Danio rerio: one gene and its partner. The protein of the gene in region 1 purifies or fractionates together with the protein of each later gene. This does not show direct contact. Links are inferred from orthologs where the notes say so. Each region holds a gene or a part of one and is shown in the gene's direction. Other genes may lie near its edges.

What was found.
Region 2: the proteins of ran (region 1) and ipo9 purify together in Homo sapiens (affinity purification with mass spectrometry; 3 studies listed by BioGRID and IntAct, with this or other methods). This does not show direct contact. The link is inferred for Danio rerio from reciprocal best matches to the Homo sapiens genes RAN and IPO9.

The regions. Positions count from the first base shown.
Region 1 is NC_133189.1:25,977,778-25,984,577, forward strand, and holds the start of ran (GTP-binding nuclear protein Ran), read left to right. Parts: upstream 1-2,676; 5' UTR 2,677-2,808; exon of another isoform or gene 2,809-3,405; 5' UTR 3,406-3,448; coding exon 3,449-3,481; intron 3,482-6,800. UniProt on the Homo sapiens protein: GTPase involved in nucleocytoplasmic transport, participating both to the import and the export from the nucleus of proteins and RNAs. Switches between a cytoplasmic GDP- and a nuclear GTP-bound state by nucleotide exchange and GTP hydrolysis.
Region 2 is NC_133186.1:26,925,659-26,931,009, forward strand, and holds the start of ipo9 (importin-9), read left to right. Parts: upstream 1-1,270; 5' UTR 1,271-1,337; coding exon 1,338-1,503; intron 1,504-3,576; coding exon 3,577-3,638; intron 3,639-5,351. Other genes in the region: kdm5ba (lysine (K)-specific demethylase 5Ba), read left to right, coding at 1-33, 152-283. UniProt on the Homo sapiens protein: Nuclear transport receptor that mediates nuclear import of proteins, such as histones, proteasome and actin. Serves as receptor for nuclear localization signals (NLS) in cargo substrates.

The DNA.
Region 1 (6,800 bases):
ATACAGCATGTTAGGAATTGGGAGATGAGCTTTCCTAAGAGGTTTTTGTCAGGATCTGTAAGTCTTGACAGATCTCTCGGATGAGGACAGGGCAGGAGCTTCTTCTCAGCAAGCCATTACAGACACAATGGTGGTTGTGAAACAATGCTTTGCTAGAGTTTCATGAAGAGAAGGCCCCGGATTTTGTGGCCTGAGGTAACATCCCTCCTTTGAATAATGACAGAAACTGAAGGACCCTTTAGTACAGCTTTGTCCAAAACATTTGCAACTGAGGCAGCTGGGTAAAGGAACCATAGGTATTGGCATAAATGTCTTGTTACTTGGCAGGAAACTTGCAAGGCATGTCAGTCAGCAAAATGCTAATCTAACTGAGAACCTTTGAAAGTGATGTGCTGAACTTTTTGTGGTCACAAGAACCTTTTGGAATATGGAGAATGGCAGCTCAGTGTTTGGCAGTTTTAGACCAAAGACTTTTTGAAGGTCCTTGCACAAATTATAAGACTAAAATGTAGTCAAAATGAAAAATAAAAAAACGAATCAGTCTGGCATTTGGCATCCAGCTACTCTGCAGGCAAGGCTGAACCAGGTTGCAGCACTCTGTGGAGAAAGATGGGAGAGTTCTTATCTAAGATCATTACCTAAATCTATTTGCTTTGATAATCCTTATCCAAACAATAAGATTTGATGGTCCAAAACCCTTGAAAAAGTACTGAAATATTACAGCGTGTGAATTAGATTAACAGTTGGCTTAATGTGCTGTGGTGAATGGCAAGCTCACCATTTGACAATCCAAATTTTGACTACAGCCATGCATGGGTCATGTCCAGGTCAATGTTTTCTGGAGGCTTTCTGCACAGCAGTTCAAATAAAAGGATCTTCAGTGACCAAATGGTTGCAGATTTGCTGTAGTATCCGCCTGTTGATTGATACTCAGAAGGGCTGTACATTTCTTTTCCTGGAAAAAAAGATATTCTTTATTAGTTACAGTAAGAAAGCTTATGCTTTTCAAAATATGGTGTAGCTGCTTGTTAGAATTTAGGTCCTTAACTACAGACTTGAAGGACAATATACCACAGAATCAGGCTGATGTTTTTAGGATGTCACCGCACCCAAAGTCAATAAGCTTGACTTCATAGGTGTCCTTGTTGATTAGCAGGTTGTCTAATTTAATGTCGCGATGGAGGATTCCTCTTTGACAGCACATGTGGGCAGCCTGCACTACCTGCCACATGATGTACCGTGCCACGTCTTCACTGAGGGTTCCTTCATAGTGCTCCAGGAAGTCAAAAAGGTCTTTGCAGGGTAAGGGGTGCTCCAAAACCATGATGTAAGAGTCTGGCAGCTCCTGCCACTCCAGCATCTGGATGATCTGAGGAATCCTTCGTTAGCAAGTATTGTTAGTGCAACTTCTAATGAAAGGGGAGTAGGATGACCAGGCTGTAGAAGATAGAAATTTGTTGTCAGTGATGTTTGAAAATTCTTTTTTTGGCTATAATTAACATATCTTGAACTAAAAATCAAGAGAACTACAATGCTGAGATAATCCATATTGTTCCTCTTCAAAACAACCTTCAATGCCACCTGATTAACAAAACACAACAATTGTAATGTTGGTGAATTAGTCACATTTATTAAACGTTTTCAATGTAACGTGACACAATAAAAGGACCTGAACAGGCAGTGAGAGAAACATTTAGCTAAGATGTAGTGAGTAAAAATGTAGTTCCTCAAGACCGTCCATCAAGCAAATCGCTTTGAAGACTGTGCCGTGTCCTCCCTTACCAAGCTTTTGTACAATTTTATAGCAGCCCAAAATGTCACCTACAAAAAGTAAAGTAATTGGAGTTATCATTAGTGAACATATAAAAAGGAATATTTCCATATGTATTAGGAACAACTTTCCTTAGGGTTATTTCACATGTCTCCACAACTCGATTTAGGAAAAAAGGCTTCTATAAAACATTAAGTACCGGTAGATAGCTAACACATATTATGATGTTGGAACATAGCATGAACATTGTTGACAAAATACATATAAAGGTCAATATACCGTTGAAGTCTTGAGCCAGATGTTGAACCTGCTGATCATCAAGGGCAGGCTGCTGGAATTGAAGCTGGACGGGCTGCTGGAGCTGGATGTCTTGCTGGAAATGGAATTGGAGCTGGACGTTCTGCTCAATTTTCTGAAGTTCATGACTCAGAGAACAATCTATTAAAGAATCTTGATCTAAAGAGGGGCACATCGACCAAAACATGCTGTATTACTATTTTAGTACGTACGTGCAAATTGAATTTCATAATGTAACAATTGTATGTATTTACCTTCAGTGTTTCTGTCCTCAAAGGTGACACTTGAGAGGGCAACCTGCTCCTTACCTTTATCTCTCGTTTTATTCAGCGGGCAGAAGATTCATTGCCTGGTTGGGGCAGGATTTTGTCTTGGAAATTGTGCACACATCTCTTTCAAAGGTTACAGATTTCCAGCTTTCTTAAAAATGTCGGTTTTTATTTAAAAAAGAAAACTAGTTAGTTTTGAAACAAGTAAAGAGTGAATAAATGTCTACAGAACTTTCATTTTGGGTGACTTATGCCTTTAATCTATTCGCTCTTCACTCATGATAAAGTAAGAACTAAAGCCGAAGAAAATTGAGTGATATGCTGTAAAAGGTTCGCTCTTCTGCCACTAAATGACGCTGTTGTCCCGCGGCAGCAGCAGGTCACGTGGTGGGGCGGAAGCGTTTATGTGAGCCATGCTGAATCCCGCGCGGGCGCAGCCATTTGCTCTCTTCCTCGATCACTTCAACACCGGTGAGTGCGGAACGACTGCGTTCATCTCATCACACACTCTTTTCACTAACACGTTTTATTTTCAGCGCCGACTAAACACATCTGAAAGCTTTTCTGCAGTGCCCAGGCGCTAGTAAGTCAGTCTGATCGTTTTATTGGCCGCAGATGTGCAGTTTTGAGTGTTTCATCATGGCTCATCTCTGTCGTAGCGCCATCCCGAGTTGTTGGTAGCGCGCGATCTTGGAGCCGCGGAAACAACACTTACTTCGTTTTAAGTTCTGTCAACTAAACTAATTTCTGGATTTCTAAAAACTACTAAATTCGCTATTTGTTGATTTTCATGTTGACGGCCTGTTTGAGGCCTTCGGGCGGCCGCTGTATTGTGAAGTTTAGGCTTCAGCGGCAGCGGCCTCGTGTGTTCGCGCGCATCCCCTTATTTAGATCTGCGTGTTGTTCAATGAGCATTACATTTGTTTGTTTTAAGTTCTAAAAGCGGTTTTGTTTTTAATATTGGCTCGAAAAGGTTTATTTGAGTAATCTTGTGGTCCCGTGGCCTTTATTTGGAATTGGTGCGGCCTTTGTGTGATGTGACTAACCGTCCCGCCATCTCTCCCGCAGAGTGACTGCAGCACAAAGACCAACACACACTCACAGTACAGCGATGGCGGAGAACGAGCCACAAGTTCAGTTTAAGGTAACTTACACTTTCACTTTAAAGGCACGACAGTCTGTGGTAACAAATTAAAGCCCCAGTTTGAGTGTTTACATGTTCATCACATTAAGTTTCTAAACTGTTTCGTAACGTTAGTGAATTCGCAGACTCCTTGCTGATAACGAGTGCATTGAAGCGCGAGAACCCACTTGATGCTGAATTTAAGGATATTTTTTACTACATACTATACTACATATAATTGTTTATTATTACTAATAAACTGTAGTTATTTAGTAAATGATGTTAAATTTGTGTAATTGTCTTTAACCAGTTTGTTTTATATTTTGTTATTTTAGTTTCTGTATTATAGTCTATTACAACAATCTGTACAACATTGCTTTATATAATTTAATATTGTCAAGACTTACCAGGGCAGAATCTTCTAATTTTGACCCTTTAGCAATATTATTATAGTTGGATAATATTGAAACTTTTGTTGACACAAATTACCATTGCTATTGTAGTTATTGCCATTATTCCTAATGGTATAGTTTTAAATTAGATGTTTCTCATAGTTTTTAACCTCCACAAACTGCCCGATAGTTTTTCTTGCCTCATACTTGCATTCTAGTGTTTTCTATTGATTCCTAAACCCAGGATTGATTTCCTTTAAAATTAATTTGCCCTGTTGAAATGTAGATGTAATATGACATAAAATGAAGCTTTATTGATAGTAGTGGCTGTATATTAAATTTTAAAAACAATTAGACCTTTAGATCTTAATTTATTACATTTGTATAATGTTACCCCATTGACCATCACTGTTTTACATGTGGGAGATGTATTTTATAGGATATAAAAAAAAATCCATATCTTAATTTCTTTTCAAGCTGTAAAAGGGTTATACAGTGCTAAGAATTTTCTACTGGCCCAATCAAGCCAGTAGTTAGGATTTTTACTTGCCCTGCCAAAATTTTCACTGGCCCCATAAAAAAAAGTTAATAGCTCATTTTTAGCCACAAATTTTAAATGTCAAAAGCAAAACATTGCTTCATCATAACTTTTCTTTAAATACAACTGACAGTTAAAAGAAATACAATTGTGATGTATTTAAATTTGAGGGGGGAGATGGATGGATAGATGTATATATTTCCGCCTATCTATCTATCTTTTAATTTTAATGCCCACATTATCACCAAATATAAATCAGAGAGGTAAGACTTTCTCATAGCTTCATTTTAGTTGTCATGTTTTGTAAAATTCTATTTATTGAATTAATGTTTTTTAAAAACCTGTTGGAAGCAGATCAATTTTGAGCTTTCTTTTGAGGTGTCAGTGCAGAAATAAACAAAACATTTAACAATAGGCCTATTGCAAAAAATTGTACAGTTAAAATGAAGAAAATGATCAGATGTAATTTGTCAGCTTTTCTATTGAATAAACGGCTCATTAATATTTTGGCATGCTTTCACTTTCGTATTTGATATCAAATGCACATTTGCCGGTAGGAATGATATCCCCACTTGTATTTCTCTCTTCGTTATAAGGGTGTCACAATTTCTATTTTAATTGGATTGAAATTCATGCTCCATTTCGATTATCGAATCAAAAAATGGAATCGTCGATGTTGCCAAGCCCCAAAAAAAAGAAACACTCTTGTTGAACTGCAGATGCAGGAGACCCGTCGACAGAACTTAAACCCTCTCCTCTTTCAATGAAGTAGCCGGTGTGGAAGTATTTTGGATTTCCAGTAAGTTATGTTGTCAACGTTCGTGTTGTCGGAAAAAAAGACTCTTTGCAAGCTCTGCTATGTATTAGGGTTGGGCCGATAGACAACACCGGCATCGTGATCCTCCACCCTCCAATCCAGTCAGGCCCTTAACATTAATAAGTCTTGTTTTTTAAGGCCATACTCACACTAGGTACAGTTGCCTCGAACCGTGCCAAAGCACGCTTGTCCCCTCTCCCGTCTCCCCCGATGGCCCGCACTCACACCACAATCAGGCCTCGGCAGGCTTGCGTCATCGCTGCTGTGCTATTCAGTGAGAAGCGCTCTCACTCAGCAGCACAGTGGAGATTTCTCTAGTTATATTGTTTCAGTCGTTTGATATGCAGTCAAATTTCGCCAAACAGTCATTAGGGATGCGGTGACCAGAGTCAAATATTTTGCCAAACAGATCCGCCACTTTTGGCGCTCATAATCATAAAGCTCTTGTGCTGCAGGAATGAGGAGGTCTGCTGAAGGAGCGTAGCTGTGGTGCAGTGAGGGGTTTATGTCTTTAATAACCTACGGCAGTTTGTGTTCACTGAACAGTAAGAATGATTAATAAATTCATATAAAAGTTACTTAATAGACGTCTCGCTTTCAGTTTCGGGCTTTGGCGCATTTTGCACTCATACTACAAGCGTACCGCGCCAAAGCCCAAGTGAACTGCGCTCAGGCCTACCTCTTCCAACCAGGCCAGGGCCGGCCAAGTGAACCGTGGTTGAGCCCGATTCAGCGCACTCACACTTCTCAAATGATCCGTGAAATGGGCCTGGGCACGGTACGGATGGCATAGTGTGAGTAGGCCCTGAATGGCATTTTATAATGATCCACATCCACACAGACGTCTTGCATTTCTGAGCAGCCCTCCTTCCTCACTACCGCTGAAAACGCACATCACGTGACCACATACACACAGGCAGGCACACACATTGTCATCTGCTCAAGACAGCAGTCCAGGCAGTCAGCGGGTCAGTAGACTGCTTCAATCTTTCACTTTTACACTTGTACTTGGTAATTTTAGCGAACGCCTTAGATACTGTTGGCTTGGTCCTGTTGGTTGTGGACCTTTTTTTACTGATGCCATTATAAGGACACAGATCACTGCCTATTCACGAGTCTCGCGGAAAGTGATTTCCGGATGGCAATTATGTTTGTAACTTATTTTTATTCATTTACTGTATTATTCATTTATGATTATTTAATTGTTCTTTTTTAAATCGAATCGAACCGTGACTTTAGAATCGAAAATGTAATCGAATCAGGGATTTGGAGGATTGTGACACCCTTACTTCGTAAAGCCATATATGTGGCTATTACACAACCATAAAACACGGATTTAGCCTGATTTGTTAGTTTATTGGATCTTTTGGTTAATACAATTGATCCACTCCAGAGTTGTTCAATTAAGCCGAGAACACCTCATTCAGGCAGTCTCGGACCAATTGTTTCGGGGCAGATCAGGACCCGATTACTAGTTTTACAAATGCCAAACAAACCACGCTTACTGGGCAAACAAGATCGGTTTCGTAAAAAATGTCAAGGTGTGAAAAGCACCCTATTTGGGCACGATTGACAAACATTCACATCCAAAAT
Region 2 (5,351 bases), on another chromosome or scaffold:
GCAAAGCGATGCCAGCAGCCAGAAGGAAACGAGGTAAGTTCTAGCACAACTGAAATGTTTTTGTTGCTAAAGCAGTGCATCATTCTTGCTTGCGTAATTGGTTTATTTTAAGGCTCATGAATAATTAACACACTTTTCTTCGTCCTCTCAGGTAAACTGGGTCCAGTGTGACGGCAGCTGTAACCAGTGGTTCCACCAGGTCTGTGTGGGAGTGTCTGCTGAGCAGGCCGAAAACGAGGACTACATCTGCGTCAGCTGCGCAATAAACGATTTGTCAGAATAAGGACCAAAATCATGTTTTTTTCGAAGGATAGTCAAAAAGGCTCCCCGTTTTGCACATAAGTTACAGCACCAAGAATGCACCAGATATCATCCTCTTACTGAATCCCGCCCTCCTCGCTCCCTTGGTGCTACTGCCTTCTTGATAGGACTGTTAACAAGAAAAAAATCTGTATGATTCTTCAGCTTTTTGTTTTGTATTTTTGAAGATTTCCTTCTATAACACTTTTCTTTTCCTTCTCTAGAGAACGTGATGCATAGATGTACCTCAGGGGTTTCCATCCCATAAATGCAAAACAAAGGGGAACTTCGGCATCCCCAAAATGTATTTTTGTTCATATTTATTATTTTATTTCTTTCCCCAATCGCCTTGAGAATTTCTTAACATGAATTTGTCGATCTGGGCTATTTACACCAAATAATATTAATTGGACTAATCAAAATGGTCTAAAATTATTTTTGGAACCCACTGTTTTGGTACATGTGTCTAATAATATAAAATATTATTTATTTATCCCAGCAATAACGCGGCTGGTTACCCTGATTTTTCAGTAGCTTGAGATCTGCTCTGATCTGTTGCTTGATGCATTAGAAGTGTTTGTACAGAATCCTAATGTAGGTTGTCAGACAAAAAGAGATGTAGCAGGCAGAAGAAAAAGCTGTGTGAAAATATACTTTGTGATGTATACTGTGGCTTTCTTTAAAACAGATCTTTTCCGATGTTAATTCAACTGTGGAATAAAATGGTTTGTTCTCACCTACAAACACTGATTCACTTCTGGTGTCATTTGTGTGCAACTGAATAAGTGGAAAAGCATAAACACGAGTATTGAGCGTTAGATGGCGACAAAGTGGGGCACATAAAGGCAGTTGAAAGTAGCTGTTCAGCCTCCTTTCCTCTGGATGGAGCCATTATGGTTATGAAAGCGCCAATGATTCTCGAATGGCAACATTTCATCGTTTCATAGTCCCTCCCTGAACGTGCATTGGCGCGCTGTGCATCCTTCCGTCGGCTCCCCGGTCATCTCTCCGTTAGCCTCGGCAAGACTGGCGAAAATATGGCGGGTATGAGCGCGTCGGGCCCCGGCCCGGTTTCGAGTCTCGACCAGGTGGACAAAGGATTGAAGGAGACTCTGATAGACGCGCTGAACGCCATTCTGTCCCCGGTGCAAGAAGTGCGAGCGGCGGCGGAGGAGCGCATTAAAGTGCTGGAAGTGACGGAGGGTAAGAACTGACATGAGATGCAGCCACAACATGCATGACACCATGTGAAGAGCACAACTATTTAACACACAGACCTTGCTGGACTTTGTTTCACAGTTCAAATGCTGATTTTGTTGTGTGTTTTGGCCGTGGTTATAATTCATGTACTTACGATGCATTGTTAAAAATATTGAATGGAATTATGAGGCGAAGTGTGCAGCCGATTTCAACATGTTCCCGCATTTGTAACTTGATGGTTGTTCAGTCATAAGGTAAATAATACGAGTGTGAAGTTTAGCTGTGCTCTTCTACATCAAGTTAGTTTCACTTTTGCACTCGTTTTCCTAACTTTATGGTTATAAAAACGCCTTTCTAAATGCAATTTCCAAGTTATTGTTCCCGCCCAACTCACTCTGTTTCCTCATGTTTATGTTGCTCCAAAACTATATCACTTTTACATATATTTTATTGGTCTATTTTCAGTCTGACAGCCTCAAAAAACATTTTATTGTAAAGAAATATCCATACAATTAAAGTGAATGGTGATTCATTTTTGTGTTTCACGAAAGAATATGGTCAGTGGTTAGATTTTGGATAAACTACCCCTTAAATGTTCTGTTTTATTAATATTTTATCATAGCAGACCTCTTCATCCTTTTATTTCGCTTTCTAATTACAATGCCAAAACACAGCTGACCACTTGAGGATTATTCTAGTGTCCATGTTAATATTAAGTCCAAATACCCACTATCATGATGGTTACATCACCCAGTATTTTTAAAGTTGCTTTATTGCTTGGAGTTTTGTGGCTGTTTCATCATCTTTATTTGGGGAGAAAGAGCAGAATCCTCTTTATTTTCACTGATTGGGAATCTGTAGCGTTGACTAAAGGAATAAAATGTATAAATATAGAGATCAGTAATGGAAAAAGGTGAATGCATTAATAATGATAAGGATGTGTTTTGTATGTTGACTTTAAGTGAGAAACATGTCTCTTTAGTACTCATGCTAAAGACAGTGCTGTTCAATATGTTTGGAGGAATGAGCCATTTTTTGTGGATAAAAGACAGTCAAAATAGCTAAACATTTATTTGAAACCTTTTGTTTTATAACAGGTATATACAAAAAACCTTCACTATTACTTTTGAACAATTAAGTACATTCTTAATAAAAATAACAAATAGACCCCAAATCTTTGCGAAGTGTGTCTTTGGACCGCAAATCTAATTGCTTAAAGTAAAGTGATTTGAAAAATAGATTATTTGTATGCAATTTCTATTAATAAAAGTGTTAATTTCTTCTTAAAATGACACCGTCTCCAAACTTTTGAACAGTCGTGTATCTATGGACTGTACACTGTATGCTTTGTTTAGGAAAAAAGCACATAATTGCAGAATTACCCTTGAAAGTCAGTTGTTCAGTGGGTTGTGGCCTCTCTCATGGATCTGCTGTGTGTTTGGTGTCAGCAGTAACATTGTCTGTTGGCTACTAGCCTCTTATTGAACTAAATCCATGGATGATGAAATATGATGATAGCAGTGTTGTGTGACTTGCATCTAATGCATTTTAGTTCACACCAAAATGCAAATTTTATTGTGATTTACAGTCCAACAGTTGCAGTTGACTTTAGTTAAAGAACATTTTTAGATAAAACCGTGGCCCTTAGTTATTCATATATTGTTAGTCAAATCTACCAGGACTTTTTGATGGTCAAAAACATATAGAGCTGTAACAAAATTTTCTTAAGCTAAATTCATTAGCTCATGCACAATCTAATCCTTTAGCTTTGTTAGAAGTCAATATCTCACTAGAATTGATTTTGTTTTGCCTGTATGTTTTTTTTTTTTACTTTTTTCTTTTTACTTAGTTCCACTGATTAGGGTTTTACATTTATTAAGCATCAAGCACTGAGAACATTTCCAGCTAAAAATCTTTTTAATCTTTATATGTGGGTAAACTATCAACTTTCTGTTGATCAGCATAGAGCTTGTAAATTACTTTTTTTTTATTTTTTTTACTTTGTTTTGTTTTGCTAATTGTTATTTTTGGTCTCACGCAGGAAGTGACCTAATATTTTTGCTCCTGTTTTTGTAGAGTTTGGAGTTCACCTTGCAGAGCTCACAGTCGACCCACACGGAGCACTCGCTATTCGCCAAGTAAGACTTGATATCTGCATTTAACAGCATTTATTAAAGTCCGCATGAACCGGAAGTTGACTAAATTTCAGTTTGATGATGTAGTTCCAACTGAAAAGAGATGATTAGTAGGGGTGGAGCTTTCTATTTTCTTATCATTCTCTCATAGCAAACTATCAGTAAGGTGGGCATGGTCAGGAACATTTTGTCTGAAGCATAGATTATAAAAGATATGGACGTAGTGTCCGTGACGTCACCCATAGGTTTCTGAAGAGCGCAAATGAAGTTACAAGTCAAGTGGGCGTGGCCAACTGGCACCATCACTCCAACTAGACGAGACAACATCAGAGGAAATGCAGAGGAGAAAAGTGGTCAGTCGCCACCAGACCTGAGATCCCTCTCTCATACCCACAAATTCCTCTGAATGGAGGAGGACATCATTAAAGCATATAAACTATTAGCCCAAGCTGCGATGACGGCCCTTTCCCACCTCCACCTCAAAATCTTTTGAAAGTTGGGCGAACTTGTAACTTTTGCTTTTTGTCGCTATTAATACACGCACTGCGGGCTACACATAGAACAACTTTATTCTCTCCAACACCAGTGCGTACACGGGCAGAGGCTACATCGTTAATTATACACACACACACATCAGGACCATACCATTACATAAACTGCATGGGGGGTAAATCTGGACTAAACCATTCAATGCTTATACTACACTTCACATATTTCGCAGAGCTAAAAACAAGACAATATCTTCCATCGTGGCTAGTGTGACGCAGATGCTAAATCTCGCTTTTATGCATGCGCGACATCGTAAATTGTTTGACAAGTGTAAACGCATGAATTGGATATGGCTCACAATTAAAACAACGTATTAACAGACAGCCAAACAAATCGGATATTTGCAAAAAATCGGAATTGGGCATCAAGACCCGACAGTGTACATGGTGCCTTTGTCTGGCTTTTCTTTGGGAGAAACGCTTAATACTTCATTACCTGCGACTCGTTTGTGTTTTGAACACATGTGCTTGGTTGTATACTATATCAATAAAGCGTTCAGTGTTTAAAAAAAAACAGTTTCAATGCATTGACCCACTAAGCATTGTTCTTGACGTTTTTCTACAGGGCGAATGTAAATGCCAGACTATTTATGAAATCTAGGCATTAAACTGTATGACAATGTTTAAGATGATAAACAGCCTACAGCTAATCAATCTGTCAGATTCTGAGGTGCATTGCAGTTCTAAAGAAAATGATAGAAATTATAATTTAAATAAAATAATGTGTATGTATATATATATATATATATATATATATATATATATATATATATATATATATATATATATATATATATATATATATATATATATAGTAAGAATTCCACTCACTTGGGAAATGGATGCCACGTGAAAGGTTTGTGAGCACAATAAAGTGCCCATAGTATGCCATATTAACTGATAATTGTTGGAAATAATTCCAAAAAGCAGCTGACTGTGTAAAGCCACATAAAACAAAACAAAAATACGATGTATATGCAGAGTTCAGCGGCTAATCAGCTGGAATCAGCTGTGGTGAAGTGACGACGATAAGCAAGACCTAGCTGTCACTCAAGTGGCCCCCTTAATTATGCAGTCTTAATATAATATAATATAAACTAAATGGATGAGTTATTAAAAAACCCTCCTCACAGTTGTCATGAAGTGTAATATTAGCTAGATACACCAA